Linked DNA regions of Arabidopsis thaliana. The protein of the gene in region 1 interacts with the protein of each later gene in a pairwise test. Each region holds a gene or a part of one and is shown in the gene's direction. Other genes may lie near its edges. The genes, in order: AT2G27930, MYB6, NAC036 and NFXL1.

Evidence for each region.
Region 2: the proteins of AT2G27930 (region 1) and MYB6 interact in a two-hybrid assay, tested with the Arabidopsis thaliana proteins (one large-scale study listed by BioGRID).
Region 3: the proteins of AT2G27930 (region 1) and NAC036 interact in a two-hybrid assay, tested with the Arabidopsis thaliana proteins (one large-scale study listed by BioGRID).
Region 4: the proteins of AT2G27930 (region 1) and NFXL1 interact in a two-hybrid assay, tested with the Arabidopsis thaliana proteins (one large-scale study listed by BioGRID).

What each region holds. Positions count from the first base shown.
Region 1 is NC_003071.7:11,888,220-11,895,443, forward strand, and holds AT2G27930 (PLATZ transcription factor family protein), read left to right. Parts: upstream 1-3,877; 5' UTR 3,878-4,023; exon of another isoform or gene 4,024-4,138; 5' UTR 4,139-4,149; coding exon of another isoform or gene 4,150-4,231; coding exon 4,232-4,657; coding exon of another isoform or gene 4,658-4,750; exon of another isoform or gene 4,751-5,116; coding exon 5,117-5,269; 3' UTR 5,270-5,509; downstream 5,510-7,224. Other genes in the region: SCPL51 (serine carboxypeptidase-like 51), read right to left, coding at 1-41, 270-377, 480-574, 695-824.
Region 2 is NC_003075.7:5,990,375-5,996,995, forward strand, and holds MYB6 (myb domain protein 6), read left to right. Parts: upstream 1-2,533; 5' UTR 2,534-2,644; coding exon 2,645-2,907; intron 2,908-3,216; coding exon 3,217-3,664; 3' UTR 3,665-3,884; downstream 3,885-6,621. Other genes in the region: AT4G09462 (Carbohydrate-binding X8 domain superfamily protein), read left to right, coding at 6,486-6,621.
Region 3 is NC_003071.7:7,403,899-7,410,680, forward strand, and holds NAC036 (NAC domain containing protein 36), read left to right. Parts: upstream 1-3,012; 5' UTR 3,013-3,224; coding exon 3,225-3,381; intron 3,382-3,464; coding exon 3,465-3,733; intron 3,734-3,817; coding exon 3,818-4,222; 3' UTR 4,223-4,495; downstream 4,496-6,782. Other genes in the region: AT2G17036 (F-box SKIP23-like protein (DUF295)), read left to right, coding at 1-1,121, 1,237-1,284; AT2G17043 (uncharacterized protein), read left to right, coding at 5,302-5,544.
Region 4 is NC_003070.9:3,331,956-3,341,907, reverse strand, and holds NFXL1 (NF-X-like 1), read left to right. Parts: upstream 1-3,823; 5' UTR 3,824-3,963; intron 3,964-4,349; 5' UTR 4,350-4,416; coding exon 4,417-7,971; coding exon of another isoform or gene 7,972-7,983; exon of another isoform or gene 7,984-8,044; coding exon 8,045-8,119; 3' UTR 8,120-8,313; downstream 8,314-9,952. Other genes in the region: AT1G10180 (LOW protein: exocyst complex component-like protein), read left to right, coding at 414-509, 738-832, 979-1,996, 2,080-2,586, 2,673-2,861, 3,033-3,169, 3,260-3,527. UniProt on the Arabidopsis thaliana protein: Mediates E2-dependent ubiquitination. Confers resistance to osmotic stress such as high salinity. Promotes H(2)O(2) production. Negative regulator of some defense-related genes via an salicylic acid (SA)-dependent signaling pathway.

The sequences.
Region 1 (7,224 bases):
TTGCCCTCCACGAAACTGTACCCTGCCCCAACTGGACTATCCTTTATTTTCAAGAAAAATATATATATAATCGATTAAAAACTTAACATATGTGAGTAAGCTTAAAGACTGATCAAATTAGATACCACGTAAAAGTAATTAATTACACACTTTTGAAAACAAAATTTTGTTTTACTCTATATCAAAGAAGAATGATAGTATTATTGTTTTTTTTTTGTTAATAATAATATTGGTGGAAATAAAAGTAAACATGAAAACGAAAAAAATACCACAAACAAAAGATCGGCTTTCTTCAACCAAGTTGAGTTTCTGGGCTTGAGAAATGTGTCTAATGGTCCAACCTCCTGAAAATTCCCTATACCAACCCCTGAAGCTCCCTGTTTCATCAAAACCAAATAATTGAAAACATTAATGATCAATAAACAACAAATGTGTAAAAAGACGAATAAGATGTAAAATAAAAGAAGATAAAAACTTACAGGTCCACCTTGGAGCCAGAGGATGATAGGCCATGGCTTGGAAGGATTTTCAACTCTATATGGACTTTTATAATGCCACCAAAACATGTGTGCTTCTATTTTCACGATTTTGATTTAGAAAAAAGAGTCAAAACAAAACCCATTTAGTCATATCTAACATAAACCAATTGATTTCTTGAAAATTTTGGTAGAAGAAAGAGAGATAAAGAACGTACTTGGTCTAACTTCGACGTATCCCCAAGCTTCGGATCCATCGGAGTTAATTTTTCTTACATGTTTGGTTTCTCCATTGGTACATGAAACAATGAGACATAGAATCACCAGATAAACAACTGTTGTCTTCATTCAGACGATTCTTTGTGGATCAATTTTCCTATCTTGTGATTGTGGGAGAGGGAGAGAGAAAAGAAAATTTGAGAGGGATAAAGACACTATAGGAAGCAATATATTATGGAGTGTCAAGTCATTAAGTCAATGCTATTGGTTCAACCTTATTTGGTATATATATACTATATATTATATAATGAAAATTCACTAGTAAAGATAGAATGTCAGCTAAATTCTTACTGTAATTATTAACCAAAAAGTAAAAGAAATATTTTCTTCCATAAGAGAACATTAATATTTTTGTTTTGTTTTTCTGACAGCAATAGGTTGTGATATTTTTGGATAATTTTTTTTGTAGCACAAAATTTTGGTCATCCACATTCTGTTCTTGTTTCTTGGCTTCGTAGATTGATTGCTAGATCGTAGATAAACGTGTACGACGGAATAAAGTATTGTGGTCATGAAAAATATCGGTATGGTTATTTCCGATGAACCTCCACCACTCAAGGAAAAATGGATTCATTCGATTTGAGGGAAACAGAAGAACATCACGTAAATTATGTTATTTATTGTTTTTGAGCGAGTGTTGTTTTAGATTATTACTTTTCTTAAGACGAAACTAGGTTTGATTAGCCTTTTTTGTCTATGAAGTGTAGATTGCTACTTATAGTGTTCTGCCTAGTGTCTATACTGGATTTTGGATATCGGGCCTGAGTTTATGGGTGGATATTTACTTGTTGATCTTTTGCAAGACAGCAAGAGCAACGTAGTAGTAAAAACAATCTCCTTGGTTTGCTTCTTAGATGATGCGGCCGGCACGAATGCAACTATGACACCAAAAAAGTGGTTTCCACTCATTGATTACGAATAGATTCATGCGTAAGTCCGTTATCCTTTTTAATAAATACCGTAACTGAATTTATTCTCAAATAGTAAGAGATGATAAAGCAATTTGATATTTAGCTATTCGGGGAATTAACGTAAGGTCGATGCAACAACTACTCCACATGTTGGCTATCAGTATTGCGTCACTTTCTTGAGCTAAAAAACAGATAAGAGGAAAATAAAATTTCAAAAAAGTACATCTGAATATTCAGGCAATTTAATATCTTAACTCATACGTACATGGCCAAACTTAGCTTTCATGTCAGAAGTTTGATAAAAGTTTTCAATTCCAAGATAGTATATCTATTCACACAAAACATTCCGATTTTAAATTATGTTGTTACTAAATAATAATAATAATAACGACGCAACTATAATTAATTAGGCTAACTATAACCATATTTGTTTTATAAAAACAAATTAAAAAAAAAATTAAGTTAGCATACGAAAAAGGTGACAGGCCAAAACACATTCAAACCCATCTGAATTCACATTTTCTATATTTTTTATAACAAATAATTTTCTTGCATGTTTTATACACAAAGAAATTGACATCTTATGTTTCTTTTTGTATAAAATAGCATGTCAATTTCTACAAGGTAAAGGATTTTTCCAAGTAATTATCCATGGATTGAACCCTAGATTCGTATTTTCTAATTGTTATTCTTTATTTCGAGCACAAGACATCGCATAATTTTTTTTGTCAGTTAATTTTTTTTCGCATATATAGAACCAATCAATCTATACTCTATATGTGAATACCCGAACGCCTAACCTAATAAAAGCATACTAAACTGAAGGCAAAAAAGGTTCAAAACCAGGTCCATTAGAATGCCCAATAGAAAAAGTCACTTAGGGAAATATCAACTAACTCAAAAGGAATAAGAAGAAATGGGCTCCAAACTCAATCACTGACACACTGGTCCTGATCGGATGCTCTCCATCTCAAAACGGCACGCCCAACCACGTAGGCTAGCACCCTCCCTAAAGAGTAATTAGCGGGCATTTTCCCCCATCATATTTGAGGTCCACCGATTAGTGTGAACTTTAGTTTACGTGTTTGTAATATTTTTTTTTGTCTGTAATATTTTAATTTATTTTTATTTTGTTCCAAATGATCGATCTTCTCAACTAACAAATCATTCATGCAGTTTTACTTGATGAGGGATTTCATATACAATTTTACAATTGACACTACAAAGAGTCAAAGATTTACATTAGAAGGTTCTCTCTACACCATGCTAATGATAGACAAATTTACCCTTTGACAGACCAGACCACTCATCAGACGTGGCCGTCATCAGCCGAGTTAACTCCTTGTAATCTTTCTCAAAAGCAGTATCGGTTAAAGATAGTGAAATGAGGAATGTCATCACCTAGAAAAGAGATTCAAATTTTGCATGAGGGGATAAACAGTGTTTGAAACTCTTTAAACTAAGTTGAATAATGTGGTTGTTCGAGCCAACATTCCATCTAATGTAGTTTAATGTTGGCTCGAACAAAAAGATCAACCTTACAAACCAAAAGATTAATACCAAGTGGAAAATATTGATAATTTATGTATGTTTCTTTTGGACGTACACGTTTCAATAGTTTGAAGAATTTCTTAGGTAAACCATAAATTATATATGTATATATATATATATATATATATATATATTCTTCTTCATTTATTGATATAGATATGTCAAAATTAGAGTATTACCATTATAATTTTTTGGTTATAATTAAATTCCAAGTTGGAACAAATTTTGATCTCTTTAATTTGACATATGTTGATAATGTGTGTTTCTTTTGGATGTACACGTTTCAATAGTTCGAGAAATCTATTATTCAAATCATAAATGTTAATTAAATATATTTTAGAAACATTTTTTGAATTTAATTATTTTCATATATATATATATTAAATTTAAAGTATTATCATTTAATATTTTGGTTATTTTTGTAGTCAAAGTTGGAACAAATTTTGATCTATATACACATTTAATTAGCTTGTAATTTTGTCATCAAACTCATTTACTCAATGGCCTCATCCAACGGTTAGGAATCAACCTTAACCAAACATCATATCTAATTATATATCCTTTCCCTTTCCTCCCCCAATAAACTATTAACAATAAATATTTAATAATTAAGAGAAGAATTGAAAAGATATCTACCAATCCTAAATAAGAAGAAAAAAACATAAAATCTTCATTTATCAACAATAAAATAAAATTTATATCTTCCTTTCTCTCTTACCCTTAAAATCTGATTTTTCCTCCTCTTGTCTCAAAAATCAATCATCTAATACCCTTTCTCTCTCCCTCTACTGATCATCTTCATAAAGGTAATGCAAATGGCAAGAGCATGTTCTTCGTAATTTATTACATTGTTCATAAGGTTTTGTCTCGCTCTTCCCTTTTTGTATATATTGTAATTATTGTCTAAGAAAAACAAAACAGGAGAGAGATTAATGGAGGAGCCGAAATGGCTCGAAGGTCTCTTAAGAACAAACTTCTTCAGCATTTGCCCTCGACATCGCGAGACACCGCGAAATGAGTGCAACATGTTCTGTCTCTCCTGTCAAAACGCTGCGTTTTGCTTCTACTGCCGCTCCTCCTTTCACATTGATCATCCCGTCCTTCAGGTCCTTCATTTTCTCAACACACAATGCATACACATATATATATATATCACTTTTGACTCAATCCAATTCTTTATCATTAACATTGAGACAGATAAGAAGATCGTCGTATCATGATGTGGTGAGAGTATCGGAGATAGAGAATGCATTGGACATAAGAGGAGTGCAAACTTATGTCATCAATAGCGCGAGGGTTCTCTTCTTAAACGAGAGACCTCAGCCTAAGAACTCCTCCCATGGTGCCGCCTCCTCCACTCCGAAAACCATGTCCTACTTCTGTGAGACATGTTGCAGAACCCTTCTTGATCCCTTTCGCTTCTGTTCCTTGGGTTGCAAGGTTCGTTTTCCTACACCTTTTCTCAATGCAAAATTCCTTTTTGTAGCTGGATGGATAAATCATGAGCAAAAACCTGTAAACTTCATATCATAGAAAAACGAATGCATAGTTATAAGTCAATCTATCTAACGAGCACTTTACAACTGGACCAACAAAATTGGTTTATCATATTTTCATCATTATTACTAATATCTTCGCATTTATTTGTCCGATATAAAATGAGGAATCGGTTTAAGGATACACCGTATAATGTTTAGTTACTTGTATGGTAAATTCATTGAATCAACTATATTCAAACTCGCTTAATACATGTTGTTTGCCTCATATAATGTATCTTAAGAAAATATATACGAGGTTAGATGTTTGTATATATGTATATGGTACATTTTGCTCAAAAAAAAAGTATATGGTACATTTGCATAACGGAAATGTATGATGTGATCATAATAAAAATGTCAGGTTGAAGGAATGAGGAAGAATAAGGAAGAGGAAGAAGAAAGATTGCGTAAAGAAAGACAACAAGAAACGCACAAAGGCACGCATCCTCCAACTCATACCTCTAATTCTAGGCGACGAAAAGGCATTCCTCATAGAGCTCCTTTTGCCTCCTAATTTAATCAATCTTTTTCAAGAAATAAAATAAAACTTTTCTTTAACTTATTTTTATCTTTTTAAAATCATCAGTTAATGGTCCACCCAAACATAGCATAGTATATGCGTATTGGGTGGGTGTATTTATATATTCCCAATTTGTACAATGTCCAGCTCACTTCTCACAATCCTCTCACATGGAAAACCAACAATTTGTATAGAAGAAAATCCTAATTTCCCTATATTTTTTTTTTGTAAAACATTAAATACATTTCTAGCTAATTGTATAACATATATCTATACTGTAGGATTGTAGGATGGACTCTATTTGATATACTAATTAATTTTTGTGAAATATAAGTCTTACCTTTAAAACACATTATACAAAAATTAAGAGTTCAAAAAGACTCTTTGTGGAAGGAAGGAATAACATGAAAATTTAGGCATTAGTTAGACTATGAGAATGTCGGTGGAGATATACTGTATACTTTATTTCCGAGTAGATAATCTAATAACTAATCGATGTGGTGGTTTGAAGTTACCTGTCTCTATATCCATCTAGCTACTAAATATTTTAGTTTAGACTGAAATTGTGTGGGGTTTAGGGATCAATAATTGTGTATCTAAATGGTTTTTTTTTTCTTTTCTTTTTTTTTGGGAAAATATCTAAATGGTTAAGGGACATGAATGTGTATATGTTTTGTATAGACACATGAAATGTTCTTCGACATTAATTCTAAGCTGTTATATAATTAAAATAGTTTGTCGTAGGCGTTAGGTATTCGAAAGGTACAGTTACTTAAAAAAGAAAATGAAACTTTCACTTATTTACATAAATAATTTAAGTGGTAAAATTTTACGTAAAGGATGGTCTTATTTTAGTACGCATCGACCTTAATTTCCTTCACGTTCTACATAATATATTATGGCACTTTAAGAAAAAACTAGGTTATAACATTAATTATGAATTACGTGTTGTCGTTTCTCGAGAATAATTAGAGAATTGTGGAATTGTACAAAAGTAATAATTGATGCATAATGCATTGGTAGTATAATTCTCCAAGAGGAAGTCAAGCTCATGTTGCGGTTGTTGATCGCACTGCGAGAAGCATCGATCTCTTCAGCTTATAGTCAGATCGATTCTTGGATTCTTGATTCAGGAGCCTCTTTCCACACTAATGCTCCCTAGGACATAATGGAGAACTATGTTGCCCAAAATTATGAGAAGATATCTCTAGTAGATGGATTATCTTTGGACATTGTTGGTGTTGAAGACATTAACCTGAAGATGTCAGATGAGCTTGTATGGAAAATCACAAAGGTTAGACATGTCCGAAAGTGATGTGAAATCTATTTTTTGTTGGACAATTTGATGATACATGACACGATATCAATGTTGGTTGTGGAGCTTGAATAGTGACAAAGGGTTCCATGACAGGTACAAAAAGCTATAAAAGAGACACTATTTATATGACCACTAACTATGAAGATATATATAGTTGATGTTGCCGAAAATGCCTAAAACAAAACTGAGTTGTGGCATTATAGATTGAGGCATATGAGCGAGAAATGTATGAATTTCATGGTAACAAATGGTGAATCTCCAAATTTAAAGATATTAAATCACTACATGTATGAAAGTTGCATCCTTGGAAAGCGGAAACGGGTTAGGTTTTGAGTGATGGTAGGAAGTTGAAATCTAAGAAGTTGGAGCTAGTACAAAATAACTTGTTCGAACCTGCTTATGTTGCATCGCTAGGAGTATCACACTATTATGTGACTTTCATTGATGACTCCAGTATGAAGTTTACTTTATGAAGAACAAGTATGGTTGAGATAAATCTCAAATTGAGTGTCTAATATCTGATAATGGTAAAGAGTACATTTGCGGTGAGTTTATAAAATACTGCGCTGATAATAGGATTACAATGGAGAAAACTATTCCTGAAATGCATCATCAAAATGAAAAAGTGGAG
Region 2 (6,621 bases), on another chromosome or scaffold:
ATGTGTCCAACGCGTTTCTCCATGGAGAATTACAAGAACCGGTGTTTATGTTCCAACCCTCTGGTTTTGTTGATCCTAACAAGCCTAATCACGTTTGTCGGCTCACCAAAGCTCTTTATGGTCTAAAACAAGCGCCTAGAGCCTGGTTTGACACCTTTAGCAACTTTCTTCTTGACTTTGGCTTTGAGTGCAGCACATCTGATCCTTCCCTCTTCGTTTGTCATCAAAATGGGCAAAGTCTCATACTCCTCTTATATGTCGACGATATACTCCTCACAGGAAGTGATCAACTGCTCATGGATAAACTTCTTCAAGCTCTCAACAACCGCTTTTCGATGAAAGATCTTGGGCCTCCTCGCTATTTTTTGGGTATAGAAATTGAATCTTACAACAATGGTCTATTTTTACATCAACACGCATACGCTTCCGACATTCTTCATCAAGCAGGCATGACAGAATGCAACCCTATGCCTACCCCTCTGCCACAACACTTGGAAGACCTCAATTCAGAACCCTTTGAAGAGCCAACATACTTTCGGAGTTTAGCTGGCAAGTTACAATACTTAACAATCACAAGACCGGATATTCAATATGCCGTGAACTTCATCTGCCAAAGAATGCACGCTCCGACCAACTCTGATTTTGGCCTTCTCAAACGCATACTCAGGTATGTGAAAGGAACTATCAACATGGGGCTTCCAATCAGAAAACACCACAACCCTGTTCTTTCGGGATTTTGCGATAGTGATTACGCTGGCTGCAAGGACACTAGACGCTCCACTACTGGTTTCTGCATCCTCTTGGGATCTACTCTGATATCTTGGTCTGCAAAGAGACAACCCACTATCTCTCACTCCTCAACAGAAGCCGAATATAGAGCTCTTTCCGATACAGCTCGAGAAATCACTTGGATTTCCTCTCTTCTCCGAGATCTTGGAATCTCTCAACATCAACCTACACGAGTGTTCTGTGATAACCTATCTGCTGTCTACCTCTCTGCAAATCCTGCTCTTCATAAACGATCTAAACACTTCGATAAAGACTTTCACTACATCAGGGAACGTGTGGCTCTCGGTCTCATAGAAACGCAACACATCCCAGCAACTATTCAACTTGCTGATGTCTTCACCAAGTCACTACCGCGACGGCCCTTTATCACGCTTAGAGCCAAACTCGGCGTGTCTGCGTCACCGGTCTCACCCACGCCAAGTTTGAAGGAGGGTGTAGAAGACAACCCAATAAATAGAACGGGCTTTGACAAAAACAAAGACATGGTAGCCCAAACTCAACAAAGCCCACTACAGAAGCCCAGTCAACATATGCAAAAGAAGATAAAGACCAAAAGCTCTTTACCTGCAAAACAGAAGACTGTCACTAATACGGAGAAGAAGACAATAACACTTGAAAACAAATTCAAGCCGTTGCAGTCGCTGCCGTTGCAGTAATTCACAATAAATAGCTATTGATTAAAGATAGCATTGTCAAGGATTCTAGATTGTTCTAAAGAAGTCTATAAAAGAAAGATGTAAAACTCCATTGAAAGATAAGCAAAATAAAAACATTTTTTGTCAAGAAATAATCACAGTTTTATTTTTCTCTTCAGGAACAACTAAAAAACTGTATTTAACTAAAACAATTCAGAACTCCTTCATACGACGTCGTTCTTTTGTTAATTTTAAATTTAATTAATGGGAAAAATGTCATTAAAATCTTCAACTCATTGCAAACATTGATTTAAATCCTCAACTCTCGACGAAACAAAATAAATATTTGACTTTCTAAATAAATATCTAATTTTTGTTGACCTGGCGATATTAGACACACTGTTAAGTAAATTACTAGATCCCGTTAACGGAGTTAATTTTTTTGTTAACAGAGGCCCATTAATGCAAAACGTTATTGTTTCCAACAACAGAGTGACGTCGTTTTGTAATAATGACTGAACTAAATTCCCAAATTCAATCTAAGATCTCTAAATCAAGCAAAATTCCTATCTCTAAATCCCCATATGATTTGAAACTGGAGATTTAATTGAGCCGTTATGACAAAAACGATGACGTTTTATTGTTAGAGTAAACGTTGTCGTTTTCAATCAACGAGTATGTTAACACACTAAACGTTCAAGGTCTATTAACCTACTGAACATCATGCCTAATATAGTCATGTCAACAAAAGTTTGATATTTATTTGAAAAGTCAAGAAGGTTTGGTATTTATTTGGAAAGTAACATAAGTTTGATATTTGTTTCGTTCGCCGAGAGTTCAAGATTTAAATCAAAGTTTTCAATAAGTTGAGAATTTTAATGACATTTTTTTCCAAAAGATAACATGTTTGATAAATATTATTTTTGCATTGTATTTTTCTTAACTACCAACTAAATTATAAGAACAGTGAGAGAAAGAAAAAAACAAAAACCAAAATCTAAGGAGAAAAAGTAAAGAGACAAGAAAAAAAGAGAAAAGAAGGTTACTTACTTACCTACCTAATCTCCATTACCCCACACACAACACAGCAAAGCACAGCCTCACTTTATCTCCACATAGTCACATGTACATATACCAAACTTAGTCAAAGTCTCCTCCTTTTTATATAACCCACAAATTGATCTCTTCTCTCTTCTCTTACACCATCTTCTTCATTCACCATGGGAAGATCTCCTTGTTGTGAAAAAGCTCACACAAACAAAGGAGCTTGGACTAAAGAAGAAGATCAACGTCTCGTAGATTATATCCGTAATCACGGTGAAGGTTGTTGGCGTTCTCTTCCTAAATCCGCTGGATTGTTGCGTTGTGGTAAAAGTTGTAGATTGAGATGGATTAATTACCTTCGTCCTGATCTTAAACGTGGTAATTTTACTGATGATGAAGATCAAATCATCATCAAACTCCATAGCTTACTCGGTAACAAGTACGATAACTTTTTCCTCTCTTTCTCTTCTTCTAAAAAAACAGAGTGAAAATAGAAAAACAGAGTCACTTTTTTTTTTCTCCCTACTCTTGTTTCTAGGAAAAAGATTTCAACTTTCTAGGAAACAGAGAGAAAATAGAAACTGGGTCACTTTGTTTTCCTGCTCTTTCTTCTTCTTTGATCTTTCCCAGGAAAAAAGTTTCAACTTTCTAGGAAACAGAGTCGTTCACTTTTTTGTTTCCTCTGTTTTTGTTAAAGCTTTCCTCTGTTATTGTTATTCATATGAATTTGAAATGTTTTGTTTTGCAGATGGTCATTGATAGCTGGAAGATTACCAGGAAGAACAGATAACGAAATAAAGAATTATTGGAACACTCATATTAAGAGGAAGCTTCTTAGTCACGGTATTGATCCACAAACTCATCGTCAGATTAACGAATCCAAAACGGTGTCGTCTCAAGTTGTTGTTCCTATTCAAAACGATGCCGTTGAGTATTCTTTTTCCAATTTAGCCGTTAAACCGAAGACGGAAAATTCCTCCGATAACGGAGCTTCGACTAGCGGCACGACGACGGACGAGGATCTCCGGCAGAATGGGGAGTGTTATTATAGTGATAATTCAGGACATATAAAGCTGAATTTGGATTTAACTCTTGGGTTTGGATCCTGGTCGGGTCGGATAGTCGGAGTCGGGTCATCGGCTGATTCTAAACCGTGGTGCGACCCGGTGATGGAGGCGCGTTTGTCACTGTTGTAATAATTTGTCAAAAAAATCCCAAAAAATGGGTTTTGTTACTTCATTTTTTTTTTTGCTTGAGTCCTTTTGGATAAATATAGAAATTCTTTACTTCAGTTTCTTTGGTATTTTTGTTTTAGTTTTTGTTCATATTACCTTTTGAAGAAAAAGAAAAAAAACGATACATGGTTTCCAAAATAATTTTATGGAAATATATAAGAATATTACACCATTGTCTAGGAATGCAAATGAGTAATTTGAATTTTATTTTGACAATATTGTTATAAAATGTAGAAGTATAAATGTAGGAGTGAAATGTGAACATGGTTGGTCCCTTTTGGACTCTTTCTTATGGATCAACCGTTATCCATTTTTACATGTTGGTATAGATCATAGTTTTTATATGTTTTTTGAAGCAAAAGCTTCTAGAAACTTGAATTAGGTTATAATGGGGACCATATAGTTGCAACTAGCAAGTTTCAACAAATATCTCGTTCACTATGTTAACTATTTTTTTTCATTAGGTTTTCGGTGTTAGTTTATATATAGTGCTAGGACACATGGTCCTCATCTCAACAAACAAACTTCTAGTTTGTAGAACTTTTTATTGTTTAGGAAAAAACTAGAATTGAGAACTTCTATTAATACTTATAGTTGTAGCGTAATTTGGTGCCAACGAAATTAATTAAAAGAACTACTATAGACGTAAACATTGAAAAGGAATGTGAAGAAGCAGCTGATTGGAAGAGATACAAATTGATTACTAAATAAAGAAATATAGAATAAGAGAATAAGATAAGGGAGGAGACATGTGACATGTTTTAGGCAGGTAGGTGGCAGAATCTATCATTAAAACCATATTGTGTACCAAAAAATAATTGACTTTACCTAATCTTTAATAAGATAAATATTTTATATATCAATACTATAACCTTATAGATTATCCGAAACAAATTTGACATAGCCAAGTCTCGATAAAAACATTTATCAATATGATCTTAAGGCAAAGCAAAATGTTTTGTCTTTAGACAAATCTTTGGTCGACGTCAGAACAAGAAAAAAAAAGAAAACAAGAATTGGTTTCGTAGAGATATTATCATATTCATACGCATAAATATATCTAAACAATTAAAGAAACAATAATATAAATGTAAAACAAAAGAGAGAATCATGTGCGTAAGAGGAGGAAGAAGGAATGGGAATGTGAGATTTAGGTGAGATCCAGCCAAACATGACTTCCTCTTTTCCTGGAAATTAAAAAAGAAGTTATCACTCTCATTTTTAATATTAATAAAATTAAGAAAATTCTCTAACGAGTTTAAGTTATTATTTTATATGAATTGATATACCTTTTTACATCTTCTACATAAACATAGACTATAGTCTTCATAATTTTGTAAACTATCAATAGCTAAGTCTAATTAATTTTAGGATCATTTGCAAAACTAACCATATTTGATAAACTATTGAAGTATATAGGACTATATATTTACATGAATTTGCAAGAGATTCATTAAAATCTTCATTCCAGGACTCTAAAATTATAGATCATTTACTAAACATAATTCTTATTCCACGGAACAAAATTGAACCAAAGACTTACAATTTCAATAGTCTATAGTCTAAGAACTAACCTAATCTGTTACTCAACAATTGCAGGCATCGATCGATTAGGTACGGTTAGATTGAAAGATACATCATTACTCCACTTTTGTAGATTATTGGGTCGAGTCTGTCTAAATCTAGGGTTGGAGAAATAAAGGTTTTTTTTAAGCTTTTGACGAGCCCTACTTCTTGAGAAATCAGCAAATAGTGTATGACAAACTACACACATGAAATAAAATACAGTATAGAACAGTAAATTCTTTTAAAAAGATATCCTAAAGTCGTCACTTTAACTAATCGATCATGAAATCCTCCTTAAAAACTTTATAAATCCCTTTAAAACACTTGTAAACTTTTTTAAAATCCTTTAAACCCCTCTTGTAAATCTATTTCCCGCAAAACTTTTCAGAATCAAGTGTCCCGTCAAAAAATACAAGATCACTTCTCTTGCAAAAAGGAAAAACTTTGCGGAACATTTTTGATAAAAAAATACACTTTTTCATTTTTGATTTCAATATTTTTCAAATAGGGGTAAAATATTAATTAACAATTGAAAGAGAGCAAAAATAAAAATGGCCAAAAGTGGGGTATTTTTGAGAGTGAGGGCTTTTCTAACACTTACTCATTAATAGATAATGGATATACAAATATATATTTCTATTTCTTAAATATTTTTAAATCTTAAAGTTTCTACTATCTAGTTACTAAAATGTTTTACAAATATGTCATTTCCAATTTTAAAGATTTATTTAACTTGTCCTAATATGATTAAATAATGTTTTTTCTACTAATACATTATAGACATATCATTTCTGATTATAAAAATATATTTCTATTTTTACCGACATATAATTTCAAATTAAAAAGATAAATTAGTATTTACAAAATATTTCTAATTATAAAGCATATGTTTATTTTCCTAATATTTTAAACTTTTTGATTTTCTACCATCTAGTTAAAAAGTTTTTATAGACATCAATTCTAATTATAAAGATATATTTCTAGATATTTCAAATCTCTTACTTCTACTATCACGAGATAATTTTTTTAATAGACATAACAATTCAATTTTATTCAGATCTTCGACCATAATGAATACTTAGGAATAATATATCTACAAAAATAGAAACATATCGTAAAAATTGGATATATATACATAGACATACATATACATAAACTTACATAGATATCCAAACACTAAATTAGTTGAATATCAATTCAATTGTCAGTTTTAAAAATGGCCAAAATATCATCACCTTTGGCTCTCTTATTCATCATGTTATCTTCCATCATGATCAACCATGTGGCGAGTTCCAAAACATGGTGTATAGCAACTCTAATCGCAACGAATGCGCAGCTGCAAGCAAATATTA
Region 3 (6,782 bases), 4.5 Mb from region 1:
CCAAATGTCTAGAATCTTCCTTTGATCTCATACAGTTCCGTTCTGTATGTTCTTCATGGCGATCTGCCGCGGGGCCAAAGCGCCTTCTCTGGGCACATAACCTCCCGTTCTTCCCCTCTGATGACAAACCCTTTCTCTCCAATGTAATCCTCCGCGTCGCGCACCAGAGTATTTTACTTATCAAGCCTAATGAACCGCAATGCGAGGCGGATCTGTTTGGATGGATTGTCAAGGTTTGGGATAACATATATGTATCTCGTAAGATGACCCTTCTCAAACCGTTGAGTTCTTCAAGAAACTACTTTCCTCAGCATTTACCTCGTATTTTCGATATGTCTAAGTTTACGGTTCGTGAATTGTGTCGGGAAGTCAAGCTCTATCATCCTGATTACTACTGTGTCCCTGGACACACAGCTTTAGAGTTGGAGTTGGGGAAAACTGTTGTCAAGTACCTAAATGATGACAAATTCGTGTTGCTTACAATTCTTGAATATGGAAAGTTAGCTGTGTTTAGGTCTTGGGATCGAGAATGGACTGTGATCAATGATTACATACCTTCTCGTTGTCAAGATTTGATTATGTTCGATGGACGTTTCTTTGCTATCGACTACAATGGGAGGACTGTAGTTGTTGACTACTCTTCTTTCAAATTGACATTGGCCGCTAATCCTTTGATTGGCGGCGGTGACAAGAAGTTTCTGATTGAATCTTGTGGTGAAATGTTTCTGGTGGATATAGAGTTTTGCCTGAATGAAAAACCGGAATTCACAGGGGGTTTCTATTCGTATTTTAATGAGACCACGGTCAGTTACAAATTTAAATTCTTTAAATTAGTGGAAAGAGAGAAGAGATGGGTTGAGGTTGAGGATCTTGGGGATAAGATGTTTTTCCTTGGTGATGACTCCACCTTTTCCGCTTCAACTGCTGATATTATACCTCGCTGCGTGGGAACTGGAAGCTTCGTGTTCTTCTACACGCATGAGGAATCCTTGGTGGTGATGGATGATCGAAACTTGGGAGTGTTTGATTTCAGGAGTGGGAAAACAGAGCTGGTAAACAAACTCCCTGAATATGCCAAGTTGTTTTGGCCTCCACCTCCATGGATTACTACTTCTCATGAGGTCAGTGGTTTCCAATCTCTCAACCACCCGAATAGAGTGTATTTACATTTGCATCTTACTACTTCTTTTTTACCGCTTGTCTCACTAACTTATGCTCAAATATCTTTTGTCTCAGAGTGTTGAAAATTATACTGGAGAAACATCATCACAATCCCAATCTTGAGTTTAAGACCTTGGAGATGACACTTCAACTTGAATGACAATGTTTATATGTATTTTTCCAACTCTTGTTTTTTCCTAAACAATTTGTATATTCATCTTTCAAAAGTTTTCTTATGTCTAAACCGAAGTCCGCTATACAAAGATTTTGAGGAAAACTGGAAAAGTGATTTTGTGTTAAAATCGAATTAGTTACGAGAAATAAGTCCCAACTAAAACAAGAACTTTATTTCGATGAAGCCTGCTTTACTTTAAGATGGTGTTGATTGGTGAAAAACTGTAAAGATTGGCTATGCAAATGAAGTTGTAACTGTGAATTTAATCACTTGAATTCACAAGTTCTCAGTGAAACAGAGAAGAGTGCATTAAAATTTTGTATGATATGACACAACCAGTGAAATACAGTCACCTTGCAGTAAAAAAAAGCTTTATCATGTATGTGGTGATTTTTTTTTTAATAACCAATCACTTTAATGGTTAAAAAGTTCATTTTACAATTTACAAGTTTGGTTATAAAGTGTATATTAGATGCTTCTTATTTTGGGAAGTTTCGTTAATATTGCTGTGTTCTGTTTACTGAATAATGTTCGGCATTTGAAGACAAAAAAACTAAAAGAAAGTAGCTTTTTCTGAAGTTTCCGAGAAATTTTCATATGTTTGTCATATATATTCTTCCTAGCCCCACTAGTCGAACTCACTTGTTTTTATTGGTGAATTGTTTGGTCTTTTGGTAACAAAGAAAACGATTTAAAATCTATAAATTTTATATCTACATATATCTACTTTACATTTATTGAAAATACAAGAAATATTAGAGTTTTTTTTTCTTAGTTGTACCATGAAATTGAGGTTTGAGTCGTGTTGAGTTCTTTAAATGGAGGTGCTCCAAATTAAGAAAATATATATTGGGAGTCTCTCACTTAGAAAGTAGTATGGGAAAACATATCTATTATTGAACTGCAGAATGTTGATTCAATGATTAAAGATTCCAACATTAAAACCACCTTAAAGAAAAATAAGAAGCCGGTGAGATAACAACACAAACTATTGGTACTACAAGATTTGGCTAAAATAAAAAACACGTTAGTACATAACCTTATAAAACTAATGTAAGAGGCTAAGAGTTCATGCTTTTCTTTTAGATTACACATAATATTTAAAAGCTAAAATGAAATCATTTTAAAGCCTGAATAATTGTTTTTGTCCATTCATATTATTGATAAAAAATGATGTTACATTTTATTTAATTATATATATCCACATCAGTTTTTTTCTTAGTTTTGACTACAACAAAAAAAATAGTTAATTTTATAGAAATTTTTTAAAATATTTGTTTTATGTTTTAGGTTGTGTCCAACAAAGACAAATAACTTCAAGTCTTTGGAGGAGACTTCCCAAGTCAATCTGAGATTAAACAAAATGGTGGAAGTCCCACAATCAAAAAAGTTATATTCATTTTTCACACTAAAATATGATCAAACTAATTAATTACAAAAAAAAAAGAAGAAGAAAAAAAGTGGAGTAAACAGAAGAACCAAGCTCTGGTCCAATCCTCATATGACCATTTCTAATTCTCTTAAGATAAAACCGTGTGGGTTCCATCCACTTTGATCAAGACCTTTCTTCTTCTTTCAAGTAAACATCACAAACCTTTAAGAAATATGAAAGAAAATAAAACACATTATAAAAAATCTCACAAGACTTCAAATTTCAATATGTTAAATCATTCATGCCTCCACATACAGTATTTTTATTTTTCTCTCTTGACTTAGTCTTCTCCATCAAAGTATTGCCCCACAAAGAAAATCTTTCACAACATATTCGGTCCTAGTTGTATATAAATGTGTATTGATTCACCTAAGTGATAACCACCAACAACTTTTTCACTTACACAGCTTTAAAAAGAACCAAACCTTTATAAGTGTTTTTTAGACATTGGGAGAGATGGGAAAAGATATTGAGCTCCCGGGTTTTAGGTTCCACCCGACTGAGGAAGAGCTTCTTGATTTCTACCTCAAGAACATGGTTTACGGTAAGAGATCGAGTGTCGAAGTCATTGGTTTCCTTAACATATACCGTCATGATCCATGGGACTTACCTGGTAAGTACATGGCTTCTTCATTTCCCTAAAGATTCTTTTTTCCTCTATAAGCCGTGTATTGAAAGTCTGAATTTTGATCACAGGTTTATCGAGAATCGGGGAGAGGGAATGGTACTTCTTTGTACCAAGGGAAAGGAAGCATGGGAACGGTGGGAGGCCAAGCAGGACAACTGAAAAAGGATATTGGAAAGCAACTGGATCCGATCGTAAAATCATAAGCTTGTCTGAGCCAAAACGTGTTATAGGGCTCAAGAAGACGCTTGTGTTCTATAGAGGAAGAGCACCAGGAGGAAGCAAGACTGATTGGGTGATGAACGAGTTTCGGATGCCCGATAATTGCTCCTTACCAAAGGTACCTTAAAAACCAAGAGCTTTGTCTTGAAACCATTATGTGAATCAAGAAAACTTGTTGCTCATCTTGTGATCAATTTTGTAGGATGTTGTGCTTTGTAAGATATATAGAAAAGCTACTTCATTGAAAGTATTGGAGCAAAGGGCAGAGATGGAAGCTAAGATGAATCAAACATGTCCTAACTCTCCTCTTTCGTCTTCCGAGACGATTTCTTTCGTTGGTAAAGAAGAAAACATGATGACTTCGTTCCGTGCTCCTCAAGTAATAGCTATGGAAGAAGCAAACAAGATCCAAATGCATCAAGAAAACGCGAAAACCGAAGAGAAACAAAGAGAAGCAGAGACCAAAGAACCTTCTTCATCACTGAAGCTACCGTTTGGAAGTTTACCAGAGCTACAATTACCAAAACCAGGAGTAGAATGGGACCAGTTGTTGAGTATAAGCCCATGGCTCCAGAATCTTACACCAATAGTTAACATATATTGGTAGGATATGTAAAGAACAAATACATTTAAATATTCTTACTCTCGTAAAAAACAGAGCTTGTACCAAATAGTATTTACTAAACTTTTATGTATCTTTTGTAATTTTGTAACATAAGAAAATTTGTAACACTATTTATAGTCATATTTGACGATCATTTCTCTCATACATATAACAAGATAGATTTTGAGTTTATCATTACGTATGTGGAATCAATGGACGTAGCTCTTGTTTTGATCTGAAAAAGGATTGTATCTTGGCCTTACACTGACTTGGTGGGACCTTAGAAGGGATGATCCCACCGTTGACCTCACCGTAGACCTATTAATTTCTCCATCATCCACTTCTTCTTCTGCGTAATTTGCTCAATGTGGGTGACTCACTCGTGAAGGTCCTTGTCTTGTTTCCATCCGTAAACAAATGTGGTTGATCTTGGACGGTTCTCTCGGTGAGTGAAGCTAACGGCCTAATTCTCTGTTTTCGAGAAACAGAGGACATATACCCTAGAGGCAGATTTTACTAGGACTTATCCATGGCTAGCTTACTAGAAAATTTAATCTGTCAGGAGTCAGGACTACAAGAGAAGAATGAAACAATTTGTGAAGTCTCTAAGTCTCTAGGGGGTAGTGGATGGTTACATAATACGTAAGCACACGGACGGTGGAAACTAAAGTTTGATCATTCCTATAATCATACTAGAAAACTGTAGAAATTATCCTTATTTGCATTTCATAATGTGGATTTGGCTTCATCTTGGGTTTTATGTAATCAATGTGTATTGGGATGTGGTTGCTGTGCAGAATGCAGACAAGATCCGGAAACATGCAAGAATGGTGCTGTTATCATCTTCCCTAGGGAGACAAGCAATGCTAGATTGGACATAGAACTATACCAACGCGTTCGACAATTCACATTCACTTTCATGCATGAGATCTGAGTCATATATCTACCAAATAAGGGAAATGAGTTATGGAGGGGAACATTGCAGAGACATTAATGTGGATAATTTGATATTGGAGCCTCATAGCCACCGTGATATCATCATGTCTCTCTTTCATGAAGGTGCATATAAGTATTGACTGGACATGGTGTTTTGGAGATCCAACCTATTCTATGAAAGAAAGCGCGGAGATCTACTGGGAGAGGTCAAAAAATACTTAGCCTCAAGAAATTTCACCAAGAAGACAGTCATCGTCAAAGTACAAGAGTCTTTGACGGTTGCGCAAGCCAAAGATAACAACAATGAAAATTTGGCTGTCTTTGGACAAGCAGAAGCTATTACAGTTGCTCTGCATGATTCTCTACTTAGCTACATGTCTGTATCATAGAATTTTAGCAGATGGTCAGTCGCCTTAAAGCTAATGAAGAAAATGAAAATTACGTGTGAAGAGCAAGCAAACAAATTATCTAGGGTTGACTCCGAATTCCAATCCAAGAAGACCTTGACGATGGAAGATGTTCAGACCCTAGAGTCATCATTCAAATTTTGAAGATGGACTACAATCCCTTTCATATTTTGTATAAAAAGGAAATATAATTACTTGTAAATGAAGCATAGATATATATTGAATACAAAATCTTCTCATATAAATCTGTTTTACCCTCAAGTTCCACTCTTTAATCTTTGGCAATGAAATATTTTCTTTTATGGCAGCGAAATATAACGTTTACTATTTCGACATATCATGTGGTATCATTAATAAGAGACATATTTCTCAACCATTGAGCTACATTAATATTTAAGTATTATATCAGACATAATGTATATATAGTAAAAATAACAATATATAATTAATTAGAAATATATGCAATTAATTAAAAATAACAAAACTAAATAAAATCAATAACCAAACATATACAAATATTAAATATACTTACCATAAATATATATTTTAAAATTTCAAATAATTAATTTTATATGTTAAGATTTCTTCTATATTTGTAAAATTATTCTAAATGTATAAAGTCTTTCTCACATAAATATAAGATTAGTTTTGCAAACAGAATTTTGTTCAATCTTAGTTTATAAATAATTTTATTTAAAAACAAATACATATATTTGATAAATAATTTGTATTTATAGCATAATATGTATTAGATAAATATAAAATACAATTATTCCATCTTGAAATTGGTTTGATATTCATAGTTAGATGGAAAATGTATAAATAGAATCATTTTAATTAAATTATAAGAAAATGTGATAATTGTATTGAATGGTACATATATATTTATATGAACACGATTGCATAAAGTTTAGGTCACATATTTAAAGTGTCGAAATGGATGAATTAAGGATCTTGTCTGAATCCTAATTTTGAATTGGTCCTGCATTTTCAATATTTGATCATAGTAAGTATCGGTAGGAATATACGAAGATGTGACATATGGGAAAACCAAGGGGCAAAACATGAATAATATTGATTTTTTTTAAGGATGGCAGCAATAAATAAGGGTTTTGCGCCAAAACAATTCTTCCAAATAAGTTTTTTTGCACGTCAAATAAAATAATGCATATCAATACCACAATTTTAAGAATCACCTGCAATATAATCTTTCCACGTGT
Region 4 (9,952 bases), on another chromosome or scaffold:
CTATTTCCAGCTCGAGCAGGCAATTTGTATTGGTCATCATATAGGTTTGAATTTTAATGAATTGGTCAACCCTGAAGTCAACGAGATATTTCGTTTTGTGAATTGTGGTTAAACAAAATTTTGATTTTGAGATTAAAATTGTAGTAGAAGTTTAGGAAATAGTGTAGACTTACTTCTTCATGGCGAAAAAGGTATGACAAAAACCATAAGAACCATCGTGCCGTCTTTGGCTTGAGATATTACACTACATGCCGTTTTGTGTACAAAAAAAGCAATGTTACAATTCCGACGAATCTGTGTGTCTTGAGAGCAGAGAGAGTCCAAAGCATCACTATCGTGCTTCTTTCGGCAACCGTGTCTGAGACAGTGAGACTCCGAGGAAAACTGAAGGGGAAATAGATAGAGCGAGAGACATGGAGAGCAGCGAGGAAGACGACGAGTACCCATTTATAGAAAGCATCACTCCTCAGTCAAAGATCGATTCCGTTCACCAGTCTCTCACCGAAAAGGTCTCTCCTTTTCTTTTTTCTGAGTTGTTTCCTTCTCTGAACTGATTCATTGCACTCGGATATAGTTTATCTCAAATGGGTTCTTTCGAATTAATCTGGATTAAGAATCAGTAGCCCTCGAATTTTACGTCTTGGATTGAAATTGTTGAACCTACGATTGTTCATGATTACTTCTCCTGTTGGTCCATGGGTTTATGCTCGTTGATCTGGTAATGTTGAACAATGCAGGGGATTAGAAAGCTTTGCTGTGAGCTTATGGATTTAAAGGATGCTGTGGAAAATATGTGCGGTGATATGCGTACCAAGTACCTTGCTTTCTTAAGGTAATGTATAAAAGCTACTAACTTCTCTTTGTTATTTCATTTGCGAGTTTTGAATCTGCAATTCCGGATTCAAAGGTTACGTCATGTTTCTTTGTATCCGTTGTGCTAGTTTCTGAGATTCATTTCTTTATGCTTGGTTTGTGTAGAATATCTGAAGAAGCGGTGGAGATGGAGCATGAGTTGGTTGAGCTACGGAAACATATTTCTTCTCAGGGGATTCTTGTGCAGGATCTGATGGCTGGAGTTTGCCGTGAGATGGATGATTGGAATCGATTACCTGGTGATGTACATGACGCTGAAGTCGAAGAGGACCCCTTGCCTAATGAAGTAACCGATCCAAAGTCTGAGTTCCTGGAGAAAATTGACCTTCTTTTGGCTGAACATAAAGTGGATGAAGCACTGGAGGCAATGGATGCTGAGGAAAGAAGCAGTCCAGATCTTAAAGGATCAGTCGAGATGTCTTCTTACAAGTCTGCCTTTATGGAAAGAAAGGCGGTTCTTGAGGATCAGCTCCTTAGGATCGCTAAACAACCCTCGATTTGTGTAGCTGAATTGAAGCATGCATTGATTGGGTTAATCAGACTTGGAAAAGGACCTTCAGCTCACCAATTGCTTCTAAAGTTTTACGCCACAAGCCTCCGCAGAAGAATCGAGGCCTTTCTCCCTTCATGTTTGACTTGCCCAAACACGTTTCCTGCTACTCTCTCTAAGCTTGTTTTCTCTAACATCTCAGTGGCTACAAAAGAATCCGCAGCCATGTTTGGTGACGATGATAATCCCGCATATTCCAACAAAGTTGTTCAATGGGCAGAGAGGGAAGTTGAATATTTGGTGCGGTTGGTTAAAGAAAACGCTTCTCCTTCCGAAACAGCTTCTGCATTGCGGGCAGCCAGTATATGTCTTCAAGATTGTCTTAACTATTGCAAAGTGTTGGAACCACAAGGCTTATTTCTGTCTAAGCTATTTTTGGTGCTGTTCCGACCTTATGTTGAAGAAGTGTTGGAGTTGAATTTTAGACGGGCTCGAAGGGTTATCTTTGACTTGAATGAAACTGATGAGGGCTTGGAATCACCCTCTGACTTTGTGACAATATTATCTGAATTCGCTATCGCTTCAGATACTATGATGACTGATTGTAGCATTCGATTCATGCAAATTGTGCAAGTAAGTTGATTTTGAACACTGATCTTACTATTTTCTTTGATTCTGTTGGCATAAATTTATAGAAGCTTTATTTGTTCTTTCAGGACATACTTGAGCAGTTAACACACCTAGTTGTGTTACACTTTGGTGAGAGTGTACTAACGAGGATATTGCAACTATATGATAAATACATCGACTTTCTGATCAAAGCCTTGCCTGGCCATTCAGATGAGGATGGTCTACCTGAGCTCCAAGATAATACCGTACTCGCTAGAGCTGAGACAGATTCTGAGCAGCTTGCGCTTCTTGGAGCTGCGTTTACAATACTTGACGAACTTTTACCAAGATCACTTGTTAAAGTCTGGAAACTCCAGATTGAAAATGGCGGAGGAGAAGGTGAGAATAGTGCCGCTCTAAACAGTAGTGCTGCACCGGAACTGAAAGAATGGAAACGCCATATGGTTCAAGCATTTGACAAACTCAGAAACTACTTCTGTCTGCAGTTTGTCTTGAGCTTCATCTACTCTAGGGAAGGACTAACGCGATTAGACGCACTCATTTATTTAACCGAAACACCAGATGACTTGCATCTGCCGTCTTTACCGTTTCAGGTCTCGCCCTCTTCTTTGATCTAGTTTTATAGTTCCCAGTTTATAAGTTTTAGCACACAGAATCATCTGTGTCTGTTCTTATGCAGGCATTGTTTTCTAAGCTACAACAGTTGGCCATAATTGCTGGGGATGTTCTGCTTGGTAAAGAGAAGCTGCAAAAGATTCTACTAGCGAGATTAACAGAGACGGTTATAATCTGGCTATCAAACGAGCAGGAGTTTTGGAGTGCATTCGAGGACGAGTCAAATCCACTTCAGCCATCTGGATTGCAACAGGTAGAAACACTCTCTTTCACCACTCTTATATACCTCAGCTATTCTCTGATCTCAGGCTCAGCAGTCAAAGATTGAAAATTTGAAATGGGAAACAATTGAAACTTGATGTTGAAGTTCATTTCTTGAGAAGATTGGGGTTGAAAGTTGAAGTTTTGTTGTCACGTGTTGCAGTTGATCCTCGACATGAACTTCACAGTGGAGATAGCCAGGTTTGCAGGTTATCCATTTAAAGTAGTTCAGAACCATGCATCAGTGGTGATCAATCGAGCCATCAACATATTCTCGGAAAGAGGCATCAACCCACAAAGGTAATTGAAACAACACTCTTTTTGAATTTTCTTCCAACTCGGTCTCAACATAACGAATTACCTAAAAAGTGTATTATTCTCTTTCACCAGCTCACTCCCGAAGACAGAGTGGTTCACAGAAGCCGCCAAGTCAGCTATCAACAGGCTACTCATGGGGTCTGAGGATGCTTCAGAACCGGAAGAATATGAGTGTGAAGAAGAAGAAGAAGACGATCATCACATCGTCCTCCCTGAGATGGATGACGACTCAGATTCCGAAGATACATCTTCACTCTCCACAGTGGACTCGTTCGAGTCATTTGCCTCTGCAAGCATGGCTGACCTAGAGAGTCCATCTTTCACCGATTCTGAGTCTTGACCACTTTCTTTGTAGTTTGTATCCTGTAGTCAAGTCTCTCAAAACTCTCAAGTTAATATATATAAAGTTAACCGAAATCATCTGCAAATTAAATTACTGGTTTAGATTGGTTTAAGTCAATTAGTATAGGCCCATTGTTAGCCCATTAGGGATGAGGCGGTTCTTGAGGGTTTGTCAAGCATAAAATAATTCAGACAAGCCGGTGAAAAAGAAAAGTCGTACGCGACTCTCTCTCTCTATCTTTTATTTCCTTTGGGAGCAAGGCGGTCTATCACTTTCAGTCGCTATATATAATCTTCCTCATCGCTCCATTTTCTCCTACAGTCTCTTTCTCTCTCTCCCTGAGAAAACAAGGGAGACTAATCGGAATCTCCTGCGTATTTGATTCTTCCGGCGATTGTTTCCTTCTTTATACGCTTTCGTATATTCTTGTCAGGTACCAAACTTTTTCCCCCTCTTTGGTTGTGAGCTTCTAATCATTTGTTTTATCGTTCTCTTTGATTCAGCAATATCGAAGCCAAAATTTGTGTGTTGGTTGGTGTTGGTCACCAAAATTTCTTAGATATGATAAAATAGGGCACTTTGATTTTACCCCCTTTTTTAGATCCCAAAGAAGGAGGAATAGTTTAGGCGTCTTGCTATCAATTTTCGATTCGTTTGATTTGGCTTTAGTTAATTTCAACATCGTTGTAGCTGTGTAAGATTTTATTGTTACGTAGATTGGTTTGCTCGTATTTTCGTGTGTGGTGAATTTATCTGGGCCATCAATGTTTGACATTGCTAGAATCTGAATGTTTCTCATTTGCTTTTCTTTTTGTACAGAAGCACCATTGCTCCAACAGTGACGGGTACAGGATCTAGTTCTGTGTTTGTGGAGTCAAGGCAGAATATGAGCTTTCAAGTCAGGCGAGATAGGAGCGATGATAGGTCTCATCGATTCAATCATCAGCAAACGTGGATTCCTAGAAACTCATCTACCTCGAGCGTGGTGGTAAATGAGCCTTTGCTTCCTCCTAATACAGATAGAAATTCTGAAACCCTTGATGCTGGTTCTGCATCCCGTCCTGTTTATCTGCAAAGGCAGCATAACGCTTCTGGTCCTCCGTCCTATAACCACCACCAAAGGAGTAGTAACATTGGTCCACCTCCACCTAATCAACATAGAAGATATAATGCGCCTGATAACCAGCATCAAAGGAGTGATAACATTGGTCCACCTCAACCTAATCAACATAGAAGATATAATGCGCCTGATAACCAGCATCAAAGGAGTGATAACAGTGGTCCACCTCAACCTTATCGACATAGAAGAAATAATGCTCCTGAGAACCAGCACCAAAGGAGTGATAACATTGGTCCACCTCCACCTAATCGACAAAGAAGGAATAATGCTTCTGGAACTCTGCCAGATAATCGCCAAAGAGTTGCATCTAGGACGCGGCCTGTGAATCAGGGGAAAAGGGTAGCGAAGGAGGAGAATGTTGTGTTGACAGACCCAAACTTGCCTCAACTTGTTCAAGAGTTACAGGAGAAGCTTGTCAAGAGTTCTATTGAGTGTATGATTTGTTATGACAAGGTTGGGAGGTCTGCCAATATCTGGTCATGCTCCAGCTGTTATTCCATCTTCCATATCAACTGTATCAAGAGGTGGGCTCGAGCACCAACTTCAGTTGATTTGCTAGCTGAGAAAAACCAAGGTGATAACTGGAGATGTCCAGGTTGCCAATCTGTACAGTTGACATCATCTAAAGAGATTTCCTATCGGTGCTTTTGTGGAAAGAGAAGAGATCCACCGTCTGACCCATATCTCACTCCACACTCATGCGGGGAACCATGTGGGAAACCGCTGGAGAAAGAGTTTGCACCTGCTGAGACGACTGAAGAGGATCTTTGTCCTCATGTATGTGTTTTGCAGTGTCATCCTGGTCCATGTCCTCCCTGTAAAGCCTTTGCTCCACCTCGTAGCTGTCCTTGTGGGAAAAAGATGGTTACTACTAGATGCTCCGAGCGGAGATCTGATCTTGTTTGTGGGCAGCGTTGCGATAAGCTTCTTAGTTGCGGGCGTCATCAATGTGAAAGGACATGTCATGTTGGCCCTTGTGATCCTTGTCAGGTACTGGTAAATGCCACATGTTTCTGCAAGAAAAAAGTGGAGACTGTCATTTGCGGTGATATGAATGTGAAGGGGGAATTGAAAGCAGAAGATGGTGTCTATTCATGCAGTTTTAACTGTGGGAAGCCTCTTGGATGTGGTAATCATTTCTGTTCCGAGGTATGCCATCCTGGACCTTGCGGGGACTGTGACTTACTGCCCAGTAGAGTTAAGACATGCTATTGTGGGAATACGCGTTTAGAAGAACAGATCAGGCAGAGTTGCTTGGACCCAATTCCTTCTTGTTCAAATGTATGTAGGAAGCTTCTTCCTTGTAGGTTACATACTTGCAATGAGATGTGCCATGCAGGTGATTGCCCGCCTTGTTTAGTCCAAGTTAACCAGAAATGCCGGTGTGGGTCAACATCCAGGGCTGTGGAATGCTACATAACAACTTCCTCAGAGGCAGAGAAGTTTGTGTGCGCTAAGCCATGTGGACGTAAGAAGAACTGTGGGAGACATAGATGTAGCGAGCGTTGCTGCCCTCTCTTGAACGGGAAGAAGAATGATTTATCTGGCGATTGGGACCCACATGTCTGCCAAATACCTTGTCAGAAGAAGCTAAGGTGTGGGCAGCATTCCTGTGAATCTTTATGTCACAGTGGACATTGCCCTCCTTGTCTCGAGATGATCTTCACTGATCTTACATGTGCTTGTGGAAGAACTTCGATTCCTCCTCCACTATCATGTGGGACACCTGTTCCTAGCTGTCAGCTTCCATGCCCGATTCCTCAGCCTTGTGGCCATTCTGATACGCATGGATGCCATTTTGGAGATTGTCCTCCTTGTTCTACCCCTGTGGAAAAGAAGTGCGTTGGTGGTCATGTGGTTCTCAGAAACATACCCTGTGGGTTGAAAGACATTAGATGTACCAAGATTTGTGGAAAGACGAGGCGTTGTGGCATGCATGCTTGTGCCAGAACTTGTCACCCGGAGCCTTGTGACAGCTTCAATGAATCTGAAGCAGGTATGCGTGTTACGTGTAGACAGAAATGTGGTGCTCCTAGAACAGATTGCAGACACACTTGTGCAGCACTCTGCCATCCTTCTGCGCCTTGCCCTGACCTAAGATGTGAATTTTCAGTCACAATTACTTGTTCATGTGGTCGTATAACCGCTACGGTCCCTTGTGATGCTGGGGGAAGAAGTGCCAACGGTTCTAATGTTTACTGTGCGGCCTATGATGAAGCCTCTGTTTTACAGAAGCTTCCAGCTCCACTTCAGCCTGTTGAATCGAGCGGAAACCGTATCCCCCTCGGGCAGAGAAAGCTTTCGTGTGATGATGAGTGTGCGAAGCTGGAGCGTAAGCGGGTTCTTCAAGATGCATTTGATATAACTCCCCCAAATCTGGAGGCATTACATTTCAGCGAGAATTCTGCTATGACAGAGATTATTTCAGACCTTTATAGGCGTGATCCAAAGTGGGTACTGGCTGTTGAAGAGCGCTGCAAGTTCTTGGTACTTGGGAAAGCAAGAGGAAGCACAAGTGCCCTTAAGGTCCATATCTTCTGCCCGATGCAGAAGGATAAACGAGACACGGTTCGACTTATAGCTGAGAGGTGGAAACTTGGTGTTAGCAACGCAGGGTGGGAGCCAAAACGGTTTACAGTGGTTCACGTAACAGCAAAATCGAAACCGCCAACAAGGATCATTGGAGCTAGGGGTGGTGCTATCTCGATAGGAGGGCCACACCCACCGTTCTATGATTCGCTGGTGGATATGGATCCTGGACTTGTGGTTTCTTTTCTGGATCTTCCGAGAGAGGCGAATATCAGCGCCTTGGTACTGAGATTTGGGGGTGAATGTGAGCTTGTTTGGCTGAATGACAAGAATGCTTTAGCGGTGTTCCACGACCATGCCCGAGCTGCCACTGCCATGAGGAGGCTTGAGCACGGTTCAGTATATCATGGAGCTGTGGTTGTCCAGAGCGGCGGGCAATCTCCATCACTTAATAATGTATGGGGAAAATTACCTGGCAGCTCGGCGTGGGATGTTGACAAAGGAAATCCATGGAGGAGAGCTGTGATTCAGGAGAGTGATGACTCCTGGGGAGCTGAAGATTCCCCCATTGGAGGATCATCTACAGATGCTCAAGCCTCTGCGCTGAGATCAGCAAAGAGCAACTCTCCAATTGTTACCTCGGTTAACCGTTGGAGTGTTTTAGAGCCCAAGAAGGCCAGCACATCCACTTTGGAGCCAATTGCTCAGATAGAAGAGAGCAGTAGTTCAAAAACTACCGGTAAACAACCGGTGGAAGGCTCCGGTGAAGAAGTGGTGGATGACTGGGAGAAGGTATGTGAGTGAGAGCATATACCCAACGACTGTGATTGGTTTTCAACTTCTTTGTGATGTATGAAAACGGCAGATTGTTCAGACGTATATAATGGAGACTGTATGCGTGTGCGTATGCTGTGATGAGTCCATTTCAAAGCTTAGGTGATAGCCAACGACGTGCCGTTTTTGTTTTGGCATCTTTGGCGTGCGTTTGGTTTATTTATGTAGTAACTAAAAAAACATCCCATTGTTCAGTAACTTCAGTTATTGTGAAACGGCATGTTTGTAACGCTTTTTTTTTTCTCTTTTATTCTTGACATAATGATGCAACACTAAGGTTGGTTATTCATTCATTAGTACTCTTTATCTTGAAATCATTTTCTCCTCTGCAATTAACGGTTAGGTGCTGAAATCATTAGGAATAGTGAAAAAAAAACTCTTTTATGTGTCATATTCTTTTTTTTTTTTTTTTTTTTTTTTTTTTCATAAATTTCCAATAAAACGAAAAAGGTTACAAGGCTTAGAAGGCCATACAACAGGCACGCAGGCCCAGAGAAGGCACGCAGGCCCAACAACTAACAGAACAAGAAAAAACCGAGAACCTGAATCCCAGCGACGAGGCCCAGAGAGAACCCAAGGACGACAAGATCTCAGCAAAACAAAAGGAGAACAACGCTGAGCCAACAGAGGACCTGCAAAATAAACTCCACATTAACCAGAGACAGGTGAACGCTGAAACACTCCAAACCACGAGGCAAGAAGAGAAGAGCCTGGCTGAGAGACGACGCGGGAAGACCGAGACAGAGGGTCCAACCTAGCCCTAACGATAAGCTGAATTTCCTTGATGATCAAATGAGCTGGTCTAACAGAATTTGAGTGAATGCGAAGATTGCGCTCACGCCAAATGAAATAGACAGAAGCGTGGAAAAGGAGCTTGGTGATGAGCGTGATGTTCCTGTCTCGAGAAGCAGTCAAGGTCCAAAGCAGACAGTGCATAAACTGAGGAGGCGGATTGAGGTTTAAGGCTCTCATGAAGAAGCTCCAAATCTCTGAGCTAAACTGACACCGAAAGAAAAGGTGTTCCCTAGACTCATCAAGGTCATTACACAGAACACAAGTGGGCGGGATAGAGAAGCCCCATCTCCTTAACCGGTCCCTAGTGTGTAATCTGTTGTGGGCCACAACCCAACAGATGAAAGCTTGTTTCGGAACATGATCCTTAAACCAAACCGCCTTATGCCACAGAACTGAAGTACTAGAGGGCTGAAGGTAGCTCCAAGTGTCCGCTGTAGAGAATCTATTTGACGGTGCATGATGACCAATTTTCCAAAGGTAAGTATCATCATGCGGACAATCAATTAGACTCGCAGCAGAAGGAAGAACTCGTTGAAGCAAAGTGATTACCGGATTGCGGCTTCTACTAGAAGAGATCCTCCAGGTATCATCGCGGAGAGCATCTCTGACAACCGAATTTAAAGGCAGGCCGGCTAAGAGAGGACCAGCAGGACCAGTCAGGTGAAGGAGAGGCCCATGATCAGTCCAATTATCATGCCAGAAACTAGCAGTCACCCCGGATCCAACCTCACAAATGATGAAAGGACGAGCAAAAGGTCGTAGCTTGCACAACTTACGCCATATCCAGCTGCCAGACAGAGAAGGATTAAGTTCCTAGAAGTTCCGGCGCCCAATGAGATGCAGTCTAACCCAGGAAACCCATAGAGAACCAGCAGAGGTGAAGAGAAGCCAAATAAGCTTCAGAGCAAGAATTCTGTTCCAGGAGGAGAGGCGCTTCAAGCCTAGCCCGCCAGCCTCTTTAGGAGAGCACACAATGTTCCAAGAGATTTTTGCTCCTCTAGCAGAGTTTGGAGCTCCAGACCACAGGAAAGCATTACACATTTGCTCAAGTTTTTGCAGGCACTGATTGGGGAAGATGAAGACAGAAGCCCAAAAATTTATTGTAGAATAAATAACAGACTTCAAAAGCTGAAGGCGACCCGCA